Arabidopsis thaliana: one gene and its partners. The protein of the gene in region 3 interacts with the protein of the main gene of each other region in a pairwise test. Each region holds a gene or a part of one and is shown on either strand. Other genes may lie near its edges.

Evidence for each region. Proteins that work in one complex are often made in the same cells at the same time.
Region 1: the proteins of BEE2 (region 3) and PAR1 interact in a two-hybrid assay, tested with the Arabidopsis thaliana proteins (2 studies listed by BioGRID).
Region 2: the proteins of BEE2 (region 3) and AT3G06590 interact in binary tests that used the Arabidopsis thaliana proteins (3 or more experiments, as listed by UniProt).

Annotation. Positions count from the first base shown.
Region 1 is NC_003071.7:17,835,889-17,839,629, reverse strand, and holds PAR1 (phy rapidly regulated 1), read left to right. Parts: upstream 1-2,011; 5' UTR 2,012-2,442; coding exon 2,443-2,799; 3' UTR 2,800-3,214; downstream 3,215-3,741. UniProt on the Arabidopsis thaliana protein: Atypical bHLH transcription factor that acts as a negative regulator of a variety of shade avoidance syndrome (SAS) responses, including seedling elongation and photosynthetic pigment accumulation.
Region 2 is NC_003074.8:2,052,220-2,057,385, forward strand, and holds AT3G06590 (basic helix-loop-helix (bHLH) DNA-binding superfamily protein), read right to left. Parts: upstream 3,448-5,166; 5' UTR 3,094-3,447; coding exon 2,428-3,093; 3' UTR 2,424-2,427; exon of another isoform or gene 1,470-2,423; 3' UTR 860-1,469; exon of another isoform or gene 781-859; 3' UTR 528-780; downstream 1-527. UniProt on the Arabidopsis thaliana protein: bHLH transcription factor that binds DNA on specific sequence 5'-CANNTG-3' in target gene promoters. Negatively regulates brassinosteroid signaling.
Region 3 is NC_003075.7:17,241,572-17,245,834, reverse strand, and holds BEE2 (BR enhanced expression 2), read right to left. Parts: upstream 2,253-4,263; 5' UTR 2,137-2,252; coding exon 1,846-2,136; intron 1,761-1,845; coding exon 1,581-1,760; intron 1,489-1,580; coding exon 1,282-1,488; intron 1,198-1,281; coding exon 1,057-1,197; intron 966-1,056; coding exon 870-965; 3' UTR 539-869; downstream 1-538. Other genes in the region: AT4G36550 (ARM repeat superfamily protein), read left to right, coding at 1-435; AT4G36530 (alpha/beta-Hydrolases superfamily protein), read left to right, coding at 4,065-4,164, 4,246-4,263. UniProt on the Arabidopsis thaliana protein: Positive regulator of brassinosteroid signaling.

The DNA.
Region 1 (3,741 bases), on a different chromosome or scaffold from region 3:
TAATTCTTAAAAAAACATATACTGTCTTGTCTTTAACCAAACTCTTCTCTTTTATTTTTGTGGCAACAAAAATAAATAGTGAAAGGGAATCATCTCAAACTCCTCCTAGATATAAATATTTAGGTTTTCGTCATTAAATAAAAGTTATTTTGGAAAAAATAGAAACAACGAACAAGATACAAAAGGACATAGAATTGATTATTCCAAGACGACGAATGTGAAAGCTGGCTAAAAGCTAAAATTAAATTTCGAGTGTGTTATTTTTGTAACATATTTAATGTAAGTGCAAATACATAAATAAATAGATACTAGAATTGGGGAGAGTGTCAGTTTGGTAGATGGTGAAATGCGAAAGGCACCCGATTTTTGTAAATCTCAATCCCGAGAAACCAAACCCTCCTTCGTCCCCTCTTTGGAAACATCATCTCTTTCTTTATTTCTCTCTTCCATCTTCTTCTTCTTCTAAAACAACATCTTAACAATTTTTAGTATTACTAAAAACCCTAGACGTAAAAGAAATGTGTTATTCTGTTCCTGATCTTTGTCTTAATTAAGACCATACATTATTTCTTTTAATTAGATGTCAATCATTATTCTTTACTAAATTTTTTTTCTTGAGTAGATTTAGGTTAATTTGCAATCTTGGATTAAAGACCTACAAAAATGCAATTGTTTTTTTTTAATGCAATTATTTTTTATTAAGTCTTTATCTAGTTTTTATATCATATAGTTGACAAAAGAAATGCACCGGAGGGCTCATTTATGGAACCAACATTAAGTAAGATTTACTATAACGGTTTTATGTATAAAAGATGTATATTATAAAGATCTCTAGCTAGAAACATGTAACACTATATTCGAATCCAATAACACTAAACTTCCTTGGCTTTCTTCTTGTTATATAGTGGCCATTTCTCTAACATTATAGATATATTGAGATTGTTGTTTTTACGTGGTAAGAAATATGGGATGTTAATTGGAGTTTCTTTTAATAAGAAAAAGGAGTTGACAAAAAAAAAATGAAGGACAGATTTAGGAGGTCACTGAGGTGGGGGGGACCCAAAAAAGGGTTGACACGTGGCCACCATGCCCGATAGATATCATGTGGATCTTAGTAGGATTAGGTCCTCAATTGTACGAACAAGTTCACTATCTCTTAGAGGATCTATTTGATCTCATCCATCTAATAATAATACTATATTACAGTCTGTACATAATGTATAGAGAGGAGGAAGCACATGGGAATGGGGCTTTGAAGATGGAGATATTCATGTGACCCGCACATGTCCTCTCCTCTCTCTTCCTTGTTCCCATGCAAGTAGTGTCTCACTGTATCCTTCTTCTTTTCCTTCCTTATCTCCACGCGCGTGGTCGTTTTCATTTCGTCCGTACTACGTAATTACGACAAAACTTACTCTTATACCATCAGGCATTAGTCCATTACCAGGCACCACCCGAATGGCCTATAAGCATAAGTGCATAACTATAGGGTTTGTCGTCGTCTACTTGAATTTTTCTTTTGGAAATTTAAGCTCACATAAAATAGTTTATACTCTTTATTCTTGTTGTAGAAAATAAGACTGGTAACTATGCAAAACAACGTATAGCAGCTATTACATTTATGGCTAAACCAGATCACAAACCATTTAGAGTTTAAATTAAAGTTCGAATAATATTTTAGCAAGTAATCCGGCTTGATAAATAAATGAGACACTTGCTAAAAGTAATCCGGCTTGTATTAACAACGCATATCCTAATACAATAATAAAGCATTGTTGTATAATTAGTTAATTACTATGTCAAACGTCTAGCTCTTAAACAAACAAATTTAACGTGCCAAATCTCATTTATCAAACAAACAAAAAAATCCAATCTAGATGCGAGGTTGATCCACTTAAGTGAGTGATGAGTCCACTAAAGTCTAAACCAGTCGACATGGCGCGTGAAAGCTCTTCTTCTAAAGATCCAAATCTGTGGAAGCAACCAAAGTAAGAGATAATTAAATAAATCTCCACAATCCGAAACACGAGGATAATAAAATTAAAAATAACGCACAACTGGACCCAGCTTTGATGGCAATACCGCTCATTTAACCATTTCCCAATTTCTAAATGTAGAATTTATTTTATATCGTTTCAATTTTTACATCGTTTTTTATAGACAAACCAAACCAAAATTCGTTCATAACCGAACCTTTCACTAATGTAAGCAAACAATGTAACATAAAGCATAGCAAACCAAATCAAACCGATAGAGTATTGTCTCTAAACTCGCAACAAACCAAAATAAAATCAGGTTGAACCGACCACATTTCAACATTTTTGTCTACTAAATCCATCATCACTCATATATATATATATAACACACACAGTTACACATATCCACATTCCTTACTTGTTCATTATTCTCTCAGACTCATCATTCATCTCTCTCTTTCTTTCAATGGAAGAAACTCTAGCCACTCCCGACGCCACGAGACGCTCTCTGTCACCGTCATGCTCAGCCACCGTGAAATCACGCGCCGCTGGTTTCGAGCGCAGAACCAAACGGAGATTGTCAGAGACTAACGCAAGCGTACGTGAAGACCGAGAAGAAGCAGAAGAAGAAGAAGATGAGGTCAAGGAAAAGATTGAGGCGTTGCAGAGGATTATCCCCGGAGGAGCGGCGCTTGGTGTGGACGCGCTCTTCGAAGAGACAGCTGGTTACATTCTGTCTCTACAATGTCAGATCAAAACCATTAAAGTCCTTACTTCGTTTCTTCAACGCATAGATCAAGAAGACATGAAGTTCGGAGGTTGAAGATTATCACACCAAGACTGCTCTTCTTTCTTCGATTCCTAAAAACAAAAAAAAACGTTTTTTTTTTTCAAATCTTTTATTTCCTTTTTTATAACATGGGATTTTAGCTTTGATATATGAGGAAAGAGACTCAACATTTTTTTCTTCGAATTTTTTTTTTCTTTAGTAGGAGTATAATCTTTAATTTTAATGTTCTGATTTATTTATTAAGCCGTTTCACGGTTATGAGAAGTGTTCATTAACGAAAATTAGCATTAATTAATGTAGTTATATAACTTATTTTAGTAGGACGCCATATAGTATAGATATTAAATTGGATCACGAGGTTTCACTTGCATATGAGATTTGACATTAATGATATTGAGAAAGTTAATGTTACGTGGCCCATTTTTAAATCTGGATGAGCTCATTTCACATGCTTTATTATAACAAAGATTTCCAAAGTCGGTCGATATTTATTTAAGCTTATGATGAACTTACTAGATTTGAGTTCCCGTGGTCCAACAATAGAGTTCATGTATATTCCTTGTACATACATATACAAGACAAATCTTTTTAGTCGTGTAAGTACTAGAGCTAGCATCTACACAGAAATTTAAACACATTTGCCGCTAGAAAAAAAACAATATCAGTTTTAGTATTCATTATAACGTAATTTCTGACCCACAACAATGCAGCTATATCGAACTCTATGGAACTATTTACTCCACACATAGCGGAAAGTCGGGGAAGATATAATTTTCTTACCAACCCTATCTACTCTCTATCCAAATTACATTACAAAGATGAATTTAAGGTTGAACATCGTATAGTACGAAGTTGTAATCAATAATGTTAACTTCAACATCCTTTACCAAACCAAAATTTAAAATAAAAACCATTGATAGATTATAACTAATCACATCCTGTATGGGCTAAAAGCCTAAAAGATTACGATTCCAC
Region 2 (5,166 bases), on a different chromosome or scaffold from region 3:
TCCCAAAAATGATGTTATTGATTAAAAAACGTTTCCTAATTCTTCTAACACTCTATGAATTCAGATAACACTAGATTAGATAAGTGTCCTAGTTTGAATTTAAATTTAATCGTATTTTACGTGTGTGAGAGTTATATCCTATATGTAAAAACTAAAAGTAATTTGAGCTATAAGATAATACTGAATGGATAAATAGTAAAAGTTTTCCGGTTAACCGTTGTTTTTAATTCCTGCTTAATTAGATTGAGTAACAAATATGCAAGTGTTAACGTGTAGCAACATGGAGGTATTACATACAATGTAGATAAAACTATATCTGAAAAAGATATTGATTTATGTGTAAATTAAAAATAATAAAAAATTTCTAAAAGATGATTAGAGGAATAATATATTACATTGTATATATTAGCCATAGGGTTTAGGGTTCAACTAGATTTTTAAGGTTACTCTTATCGTTTATTTATTTATTAATGATATATATATATATATATATATATATATATATATATATATTTATTTATTCACACAATTTAATAAGCAAACGTCTAAGTTGAAACCCTAAATTAAAATATCATTTCTCAAATCACTATAAAATGGAGTCTCTCCCAGAAGAAGTGGTTGTGAAGGAGATCTTGCCACGCGTGGCTCTTTCTTCACTCAAGCTTGTTCAACTTCAGCCTCGTATGCAAATCATTACATAATCTCTGCAACGACCCTCAAGTTCTCGAACACGTCTGCCTCGACGAAATCAAAACCGCAAACGATGACCTATAACTAAAGCTAGAGTTTTCTCAAGAGATGCAGAGAGAGCGGAAACACGGAAGCAGTGGCTCGTGAAGGAATTGTGAAGTGCTTTTACCTATTCAGTAATATTGTTGATGAAGAGAAAGGGATCGAATGTTTGCAAAAGCCGCGTCTAAAGGACTCAAAGCTGCCTCATATCTCTGTGGAGTGATCTCTTTGTGTCGCGGTGGGAAAGTTCCGCAAAAGAGTATCGAGATTTTCAAGTCTTCTTTTGTCGTGAAATCTTCGGCACTGAAGACTAGGAGAAACCTCCAGGAGTATCTGCAATGGATGGTTTCCAAATATAAAAATCATTTTTTGGGAATTAGGCTCCTTGGTTATAACTGTGTTCGACATGGACATAATTTTATCTGGGCAAGTTTCTCTAATAGTGTGTTGGCGAGTTTTAATCCAATCTTCTACAATGTTGCGGTTTATTTTCTCTAATAGTTTGTCCCTTTTGGCAATAATAATATAACTTATGAAATATGTGATGAAAAGAGTTGTCGTGCAAGTTAATAAGAGAAGGCTTAAAAAGAAACAAGAGGACAAAGGCATGGCCACTCCCATGTGCCTCCTCATACTTTTAAGGTCACTTCTCTCTATGTTTTAAATATTTTTTGCTTTTGTCGTCACTTGTCTCTTGTTGTCGCCTAGTCATACTCCAGTGTTCTTAAATCATATCCCTATCACAGAAATTCGTATATTAATTAAGCTAATGAATCAAACTCCTGTTAAGTCAATTTTAACTACAGGTTATTCAGTTTTGCTTCGTGATGAATATTGAAGGATATACAGTACGTGCAGAACTGCAGATTAGTGTTTGAGAAAACTTATTTAGTAACAGGGAATTATTAGCTAATTTAATCTTTTTTCTTCTTTTTTTCCTTTATATTTCTTGTGAAATAAGGAAAAGAAAAGAAAAAGAAGACAAACAACCTATAAGTATCAAAAATGGGATTCAAAGGAGGGGCAATAAAGCGAGTAGATGATTGAGTGACAGATCAATCTCATCAGTCATCATTCAATTCAATGAATTTGAATGTATCATTCCATTCATTCTCTAATGCATCATCACATGCTACCATAATCAAAACTAAAGTTAACCCATTATCTTCCTACATCTACTATAATGTATTTTAAAATTCTAAATGGGAAATTATTTTCTTTCCACTTTATTGCAGTACAAATCTATTTCATGTTGAAATTTCATATAGTACATAAGATGATATAGTACAAAGCCATATTGAATGAACTAAAAGTACATCAAAAGTTCCATATTGGTTTAGTTATCACATACTATGAGGTTAAAAGAGGAACCCATTTTCCCACTAACTCCAATAACGAATTCATCAATCTTATTTTTTTTTTGATCAACAACGAATTCATCAATCTAAATCAAATAATCCAACTACGATTTGAACCCTAATGGTAAAGACTTTATTAATCAATCATATACTTAATTTAGACTTGAGGATCGTAAAAATGGGAAGACTCGGTTCAAAATTTACTTTTACTTGTAGCAGAGAAGAATCAGCGGTTGGGAAGAGTAGTTACAGATTATAATCAAACCGAATCTTCTATATACACATAAGCTGTGAAAGATCGAGAGATGGTAGAATTAAAAAGACGATTTTAACCTCATCAAATCGGTGGAGGAGCTGAGCCGTAGGAGGAGAGAAGCTGAACTAAAGAGTTCATGGCTCTCACTTGCATCTCCAGAGCCTGAATATAATCAGTTGCTTCTTCTAGAATCACCGGTACGGATTGTTTACCGCAACCGGGAACTAACCGGCCTAGAACACGTACTTTCCGGTTAACATCCGGTATACTCTTCTTATTCAATCTCAACACCGACACTCTCCGTTTTCTCGATCTGTTGCTGCTGCTACTAACCACCGTAGTCATGGCCGGAATCGCCATCGTAGCTCGAGGACGTCTCTGTTTACGAAATTTCAGTTTGATCCGATTAGCTAAGATCGCTCTGCTCCAGAGTGTTCTTCCCCGAGCGGAAACGGCAAGAGCTCGATCGGCGGCTTCACGGACGGCCTTTCCTCGTTTCTGAGCCGTTGGAGATGATGATGTTGAGGCGGAAGAGTTGAGGCGGACTTGTTGGAGCGCTTGGAACAGTTTGGCTGAGTAGATCCGTTGTTGCTTCTCCGATCGCCATCGCGCGTGAATCTCACCGGAGACGGAAGATGCGCTTGAACGAGACGATGCGGCGGATGAAGCAGAGGATCTCTTCTTTCTCCGAACGAGATCTGAAGTAGTACTCGTCGGCGGTTCAATATCTGAGATCAGAGACGCCATAACCAAATAATTGGCTCTGATCTCCGCAGTCGTATTGAAAGAGCTACAGAATCCGAATTTATCTGAAGTTGAGCGGAAGAAAGTTATGAAATTGTGGAGAATAATGGAAGGGAGAAGAAGAGGAAGATATATAAAGGGAGAGAGGTATCAACTATCACGAGACGTAGCAGTTAACAAACGGCCCCGTTTTAGATGTAGCAGTTAATAAGCGGCGTCGTTTTGTCAATTTGTTTTTTAGTATTTGTTGTTTTAGCCAGATACGAAAGTGGCATTTGTAATGCATGATAAAGAGAATTCGTGAATACCACCAAGAAACAAATAATTTCATTCTCAACACTAGTGGAATTGATAAGTTATAATTAACTGGCTCTATAACCTCTAATGGTTTTGGAATAATGAGAGACAGAGACATCATTGTGACTTGAAGCAATGTTTATGAATTATGATTATACTTAAAAAGTTTTGTTCCACGTTGATTAGTTCACAATTATTTTTTTAAACTTACCCTCTTGACAGAGATTTTAGAAAGAAATTTATATACAAAATTTCTTACAATCACGAGTTTTCGATCTTTTGTAGACATAATCTAAATAGAGAGTAAAATACATAATAGAAATGCTACAAAGATCCTAATGTGGGTAGAGCATCCATAACGATAGTTTCCAATCAATTTAGGGTACAATCTTAATTACTAAATTAGCTTATTGATATCTAAAGATGTTTACGAAAAGAGAAAACAAACAAACTTGTATAAAGGCCGATACTTTGGTGGAATGGAGGAGGAAGGTAGATTCAAACGAAAGGATGACGTGTCATATTACTATTGGAGAAATCCATTTACGACTTATAGTGGTCGTTTAATGGACTGACAGGGCAAAAAGAGAGGGGCCAAAAACTCAAAACTTTGGATTTTGTATTCAGTGCAATGATTTCGTAAATATTGGAATTGTATTTAAAATACTACTTTACGCATAAAGTAATATACCAAACGAAATGCATGTGCGATGTAGGGTTAGTGGCACTGCCTCTCTTTACGGCTTTTTTTTCTTTCCCTGTAAAGAAAAGATCACTGAAATTAACTCCTGTATTTTATCAAAAAAAAGTTTTGTATGTGTATCTATCAATATGTATGAATAAAATTTCATTAAATTTTGTGTATATGTATAAGTAGATATAAGATTAATAGATTGTTGGGTAAAGTATAAGGGAGTGGCGTCATTTTATTCATATATCCTGCTGAAAAAAGGAGCTTCTGAACTTCTCCATTGGGTTAATTCATATATAAATAAAGCTAGCTACGTTCAAACTAATTTTCTAGAAAAGTTACTGTTAGTTTGATTTTTGTTTGTACTGTTCACTATGTTGAGTTTGATCAGCAGTTAAAATGGAAAATACCTATCTTAGTTTATGTTAGACATAAAAGTACCACAATGGTATATATACTGTATTAAGATGTTTTTAGGCGGGTGGAAAGGATGTTAGAAACAGAGCGCAATGCGCAATGCTTCATAGATAATAGTATTCATTTAACCTAAGGGCTAAGGGTTAATAATTGTGTCAGTAACGTGGCATATTCTCTGTACCTTAGAAAGTTATAAGCTAGAATGATTCCACATGACAAATTAATGATAAGAAACAACATATCCAATTATTCACTAAAGTGTCACTTACAATAAAATAGTTTATCTACTTCGAATTTAAGAATATATTTTCGATTTAGATACTTAAATTTTCTCAATTTATACTTTAGAATCAAGCAGAAAATTTGTTGGTGAAGAACAAAGCAACCTAATGAATTATCTGTTTTACGAACTGAGTCAAAGAAACCACTATTCGAATCTGCGATTTGCGTAATTCTCATGGGCTCTACTTCAACAACAACAACAAAAAAAACATGTATCACAAAGGTTGCTGGCTGTAATTGTTATCTTCCATTAATAGAAATAAATATATTTCGGATTGGAAGTTCAAATTTGTTACTATGAAAATTTACTACTGTAAATCATAATTCCAGCTATCTAAGGTTTTCAAATTTATTTGCAAATCATTATGTATCTCGGATGTAATGAGTTT
Region 3 (4,263 bases):
GGTCGGGGTTGTATCACCGAAACCCCGGATTGTTTAGCTTCCATAGCTGAATTACTCGAGTCAAATGTTCCCGAGGAGCAAGAGAACGCAATCTCCATCCTCCTTCAGCTCTGTGTGCAGAAGATAGAGTATTGCTGTCTTGTCGTGAGAGAAGCAACTGATATTTACTCATCTCTAATCTTGATATCCAACAATGGAACAGAGGAAGTAAAGGTGAGTGCATCAGAATTACTTAGAGCTCTTGTAGAAGTAGATTCCGACAAAGAAGAAGAAGAAGAAGTTTCCTCCAGACCAGAAGGAAGAACAACTGCTTCGCCTACTTCACAGGTTGTTACTCCAGTTACTCATCCGGAACCTGTTAAAATAACACCATCTCCCAAGAAATCTGGTCTTTTTGGATTCAATTTCTCCAGTCTCAAGAAGAAGAAAAAATAGAAAGAAGCATAAGATACATTATTAGGCTGGATTTAACTTAATTTTTGAGAAATTTTTTTGATTTTTTTTTTGGCTCTCTGTTTGTTGGCTTAGGTTTGTATATGTTGATACCAGGCCAAAAGGCATCTCCATTAATACAAGTGTAGTTGTAATTTGTGAAGGAAATAATTGTTACGACCACAAGAGTTTGATTCTACAATGTACAAAAAAAGGAATTGCTATGACCACAAGAGTTTTTTCTCTTTCTTCTACACATATACATATCCCCTGGAATATATGTAAATCACTATATTTGTATGAAGATAATAGATTGAGAAAGATCTTTGGATTGGTTTCCTCTGTCTCTTTTGGTTCAAATTTCAGATAAGATAGATAAATGGATAAGACAACAACAAAAAACCGCGATTTTTTTAATGAGGCTATCCCTAATTTTTTTACTTGAGGCTGAAGAAATTGGAAACAGAATCGGTTCTCAAGCTGTTGTAAAGACACTGTGAGTGAGTTTCCCAGCTTGATGATGTATGATCTTTCTGCAAAACAGAATAAGAAATAAGTTACTTCACGGACAAGTAACAAAAAATTGGGACTAATGAAAGATTTGTCTGAGATAAAGATTATTACAGCGCCGAGAGATGTGGTGTGGTCTGAGTTTATGACTGAGTAATCTAAAGATCCTTGCTGATGTAATGGAAAAGACCGAAAATCCGCCATGATTGACTGCTTCGAGTCACCTTCTGGAGGACCTGTGAAGTAAGCCTGAAACTAGATTCCAATATTTAACCAGTCAATAAATGCGGTAATTAAACTCTTGGTTAGTTCTTGGGATGAAAACTGACTATTATTCACCTGTTTTGCGGATAAATCATCGATATGACACTCAAGTTCTGGATTTATGACAGAGAGTTTCATCGACAAGAACTCGACTTGTTGTTGCAGAGATTGGACATAGTTGATGATCTCATCAAGCATACCAGCTTTTCCAGTAACTTTGTTGCATCCAGGAACAATATCTTGTAGACATTTCATCTTCTTGCTTATCTTTTCTCTTCTTGCCTGCCAAAATCCCACAAATATAAAACCACTCAAATCTCTAATGAAAGTAATTTCTCTGAAACCTATTTAACAACAACACTTTAGTTAATTACCCTCTCTGCTAAGCTATGTCTGTCGGTGGCTTCACCTCGTCTAGCCCTAACATGAATGTAATCTGGTTTCTGAATTTCTGAAGATGTCTCTGTGTTACTCATGTTTGATTTCCCTTTCATGCTTGGCTCTGTTTCATCCTCTGCTTTGATCTTCTTCTTCTCTCTCTTTTCTGTCTTACCCTAAAACCAATAGTTAAAACGATCAGAAACAATGTTTCAAACAAAATCTAAACTCTAATACTCAATACTTTCTTGAGCTACAAACCTCTGGTTTTCTCTTGTTCTGCAAGGTAATGGCTCTGCTGTGTCCATTATTCTTCACTGGCTCCATATGGAAGCTACTTGTCCTAGAAATGCAGCCATCAGTAGTATCATAATCCGGTCCGAATTCGGGAAAATGTCTGAAACTCTGCAGCTCATCATTGTTGTTTCCCAAGTAACTCTCAACTCTTTTGAGCTCTTCTCTCCCATCTGAGCCAAGTATCTGAAGAAACTCAGGTGAAACCATTTGTTGCTGTTGCAGCCACTTAAGCCTATCAAGTACAGACAAGTCCATGAAGAGAAGGTAAAAAAAAAACTTTAAAAGGCTCTTATCTTTTCTTTGAGGGGGTTAAAGCAAAAGAGAAAAAGAGAGAGTTAAGTTATATATGTGTGGAAGAAAAGTAATCCATTAGATATAATTATTCTTAGCTTTAAATAGAAAGCAACATTGACCCACACACATGAGATTCGAAATCTAGTGAGAGAGGGACAAAATTGATAAAAGTGGAGGAGGTTGGGGACAAAGAAGGTGAGATGAGAAGTTGTGGGGTCTAATTGACATAACCTACCATGTGGTCATGTCCTTATGAACATGAGATGAGGAGTCTCTTAAGTTAGTCTCTTTTGTGTCTTTTCTCTGTGTTTTTTTTTTTCCTTTTGGCCTTTCAAGTTTTTGAGAGGATCTTTTTGTTTGGCAACAATAATCAAACTTTGTAAAACTTAAGGTTCATGAGGGTATTATCATATAAATATCCTCTTTTGTAAAATCAAATCATTGAGTTTTTGGTAAGACAACCTTCTAATTGTACCAATTTGTTTTGTTAGAGAGAGAGAGAGAGAGGGTCTTTCTTAGGCTTGAAGGTGGAGAATGTGGGGAATGTGAATTATGAATCTTAACTTGCAAATGAATAGAAACAATGGTTTGAATCATGAGTGATATCATTTCAATGTCTTGTTGTGAATCTATACGTGATCCTTGTGACGTATGATTACTACCCTTCATCAATCCATAGATTACACCAATAATTTAAGTGGATTTCATATATTAGAGAGATGGCAACTCGATGAATATATGACATATTATAATATCACATATTATAATTCATAACTGATAGGGACACAAAATAAGCGACCTAAAGAAGAAAATGGGTTTGAAGATAAGTGATAGGAAGGTAGGCGACACCATTGCTTTTGATCTAAGTGTTTGGTCCCTATACTTTCTTTTTTTCCCTATTAATTATATATCTATACATTATCTATAATGCGTGACATAATTCAAGAGAATCAATACTATTTCGATTTTTTTTTTTTGAAGAACTTGAAAAAATATATCCAAAATTAGACCGATTTCAATAACACACCGTACAGGTTGCTTTGAGGTTTCCATTTCATTGGTTCTTTGGGAAACATCAATAACAAGCTGCTTATGAGATGAGAAGAGTAAATGCTTCAAATGCCAAAATACTTAACGTTGAGAGTATCTGTTGTTTTTTGCAATTTCCACAAAAAAGTTTTAGAAAGTTTTTGATTCAATGGGTTTCAGGATGTATTCTTTTGTAAAGAAGTTTGTGTCAATGCATTCATGTTGCAATTAGGCATTTTGTCGAATCACGAAAACGGAAGGAACACTCGTATTCGTCACATCAAAGTATAAGGCCCTAGATCGTGTGTATCACGTCTCTAATTTGCTTACTTACAAAACTGTGTTGTTTGCTCTTTTCACTAATGATGGATCTATGTGATAACAGGAATCACATTCCACGTCAATTATTTCTGTTTACTTCAAAAGAATGTCACACCTATGCAACAGTGAGACAAGATCTGAGGAAGAGAGTTAGAGAACATGAAATTTAAGAAAGAGTGCTTCAATATCTTGTTGTGTACAAATCAATAGTTCTGTTTGATAATATCAACTTGACAGCTTTTGTCAAAATGATGAGTAAAAAATCAGGATCTTTGGGACAAATACGGCTGAACCGGCCGGTTTAGCTAAGTCGAAATTACCGGCCTAATCGTTAAACCATAAAAACCGCAACTTTCAGAAACACTCTGCTTCGTCGAGCGGATTCGACTTGTCTGGCTCAGGGGTCGCCACAACTCTCCCGCAAGTTCACACATACACTCGGTGCTCAAAAAGTTTGTCCTTTTTGCATCTCTCAGTTCTGAAATATCTGGTTCTCTTGTCCTTGAAAATTTTACGAGGTTGTTCTCTGTGAATAATCGATGTCTGCTTCATGTGCTTTAACACCGTCTGTTAGGACAGAGTTATTCAGTTCATCATCATCTAAAAGATCAATCTTTCCTGCTAGAATTTGTCGACCAAGTAAGATTCAACTCCAACCTTTCATTTAGATGTGCCCCTAAGCCTGAATTATGAACAATCTGTTTAATCTTTGCAATGAAGGAAACAAATGTGAAATCA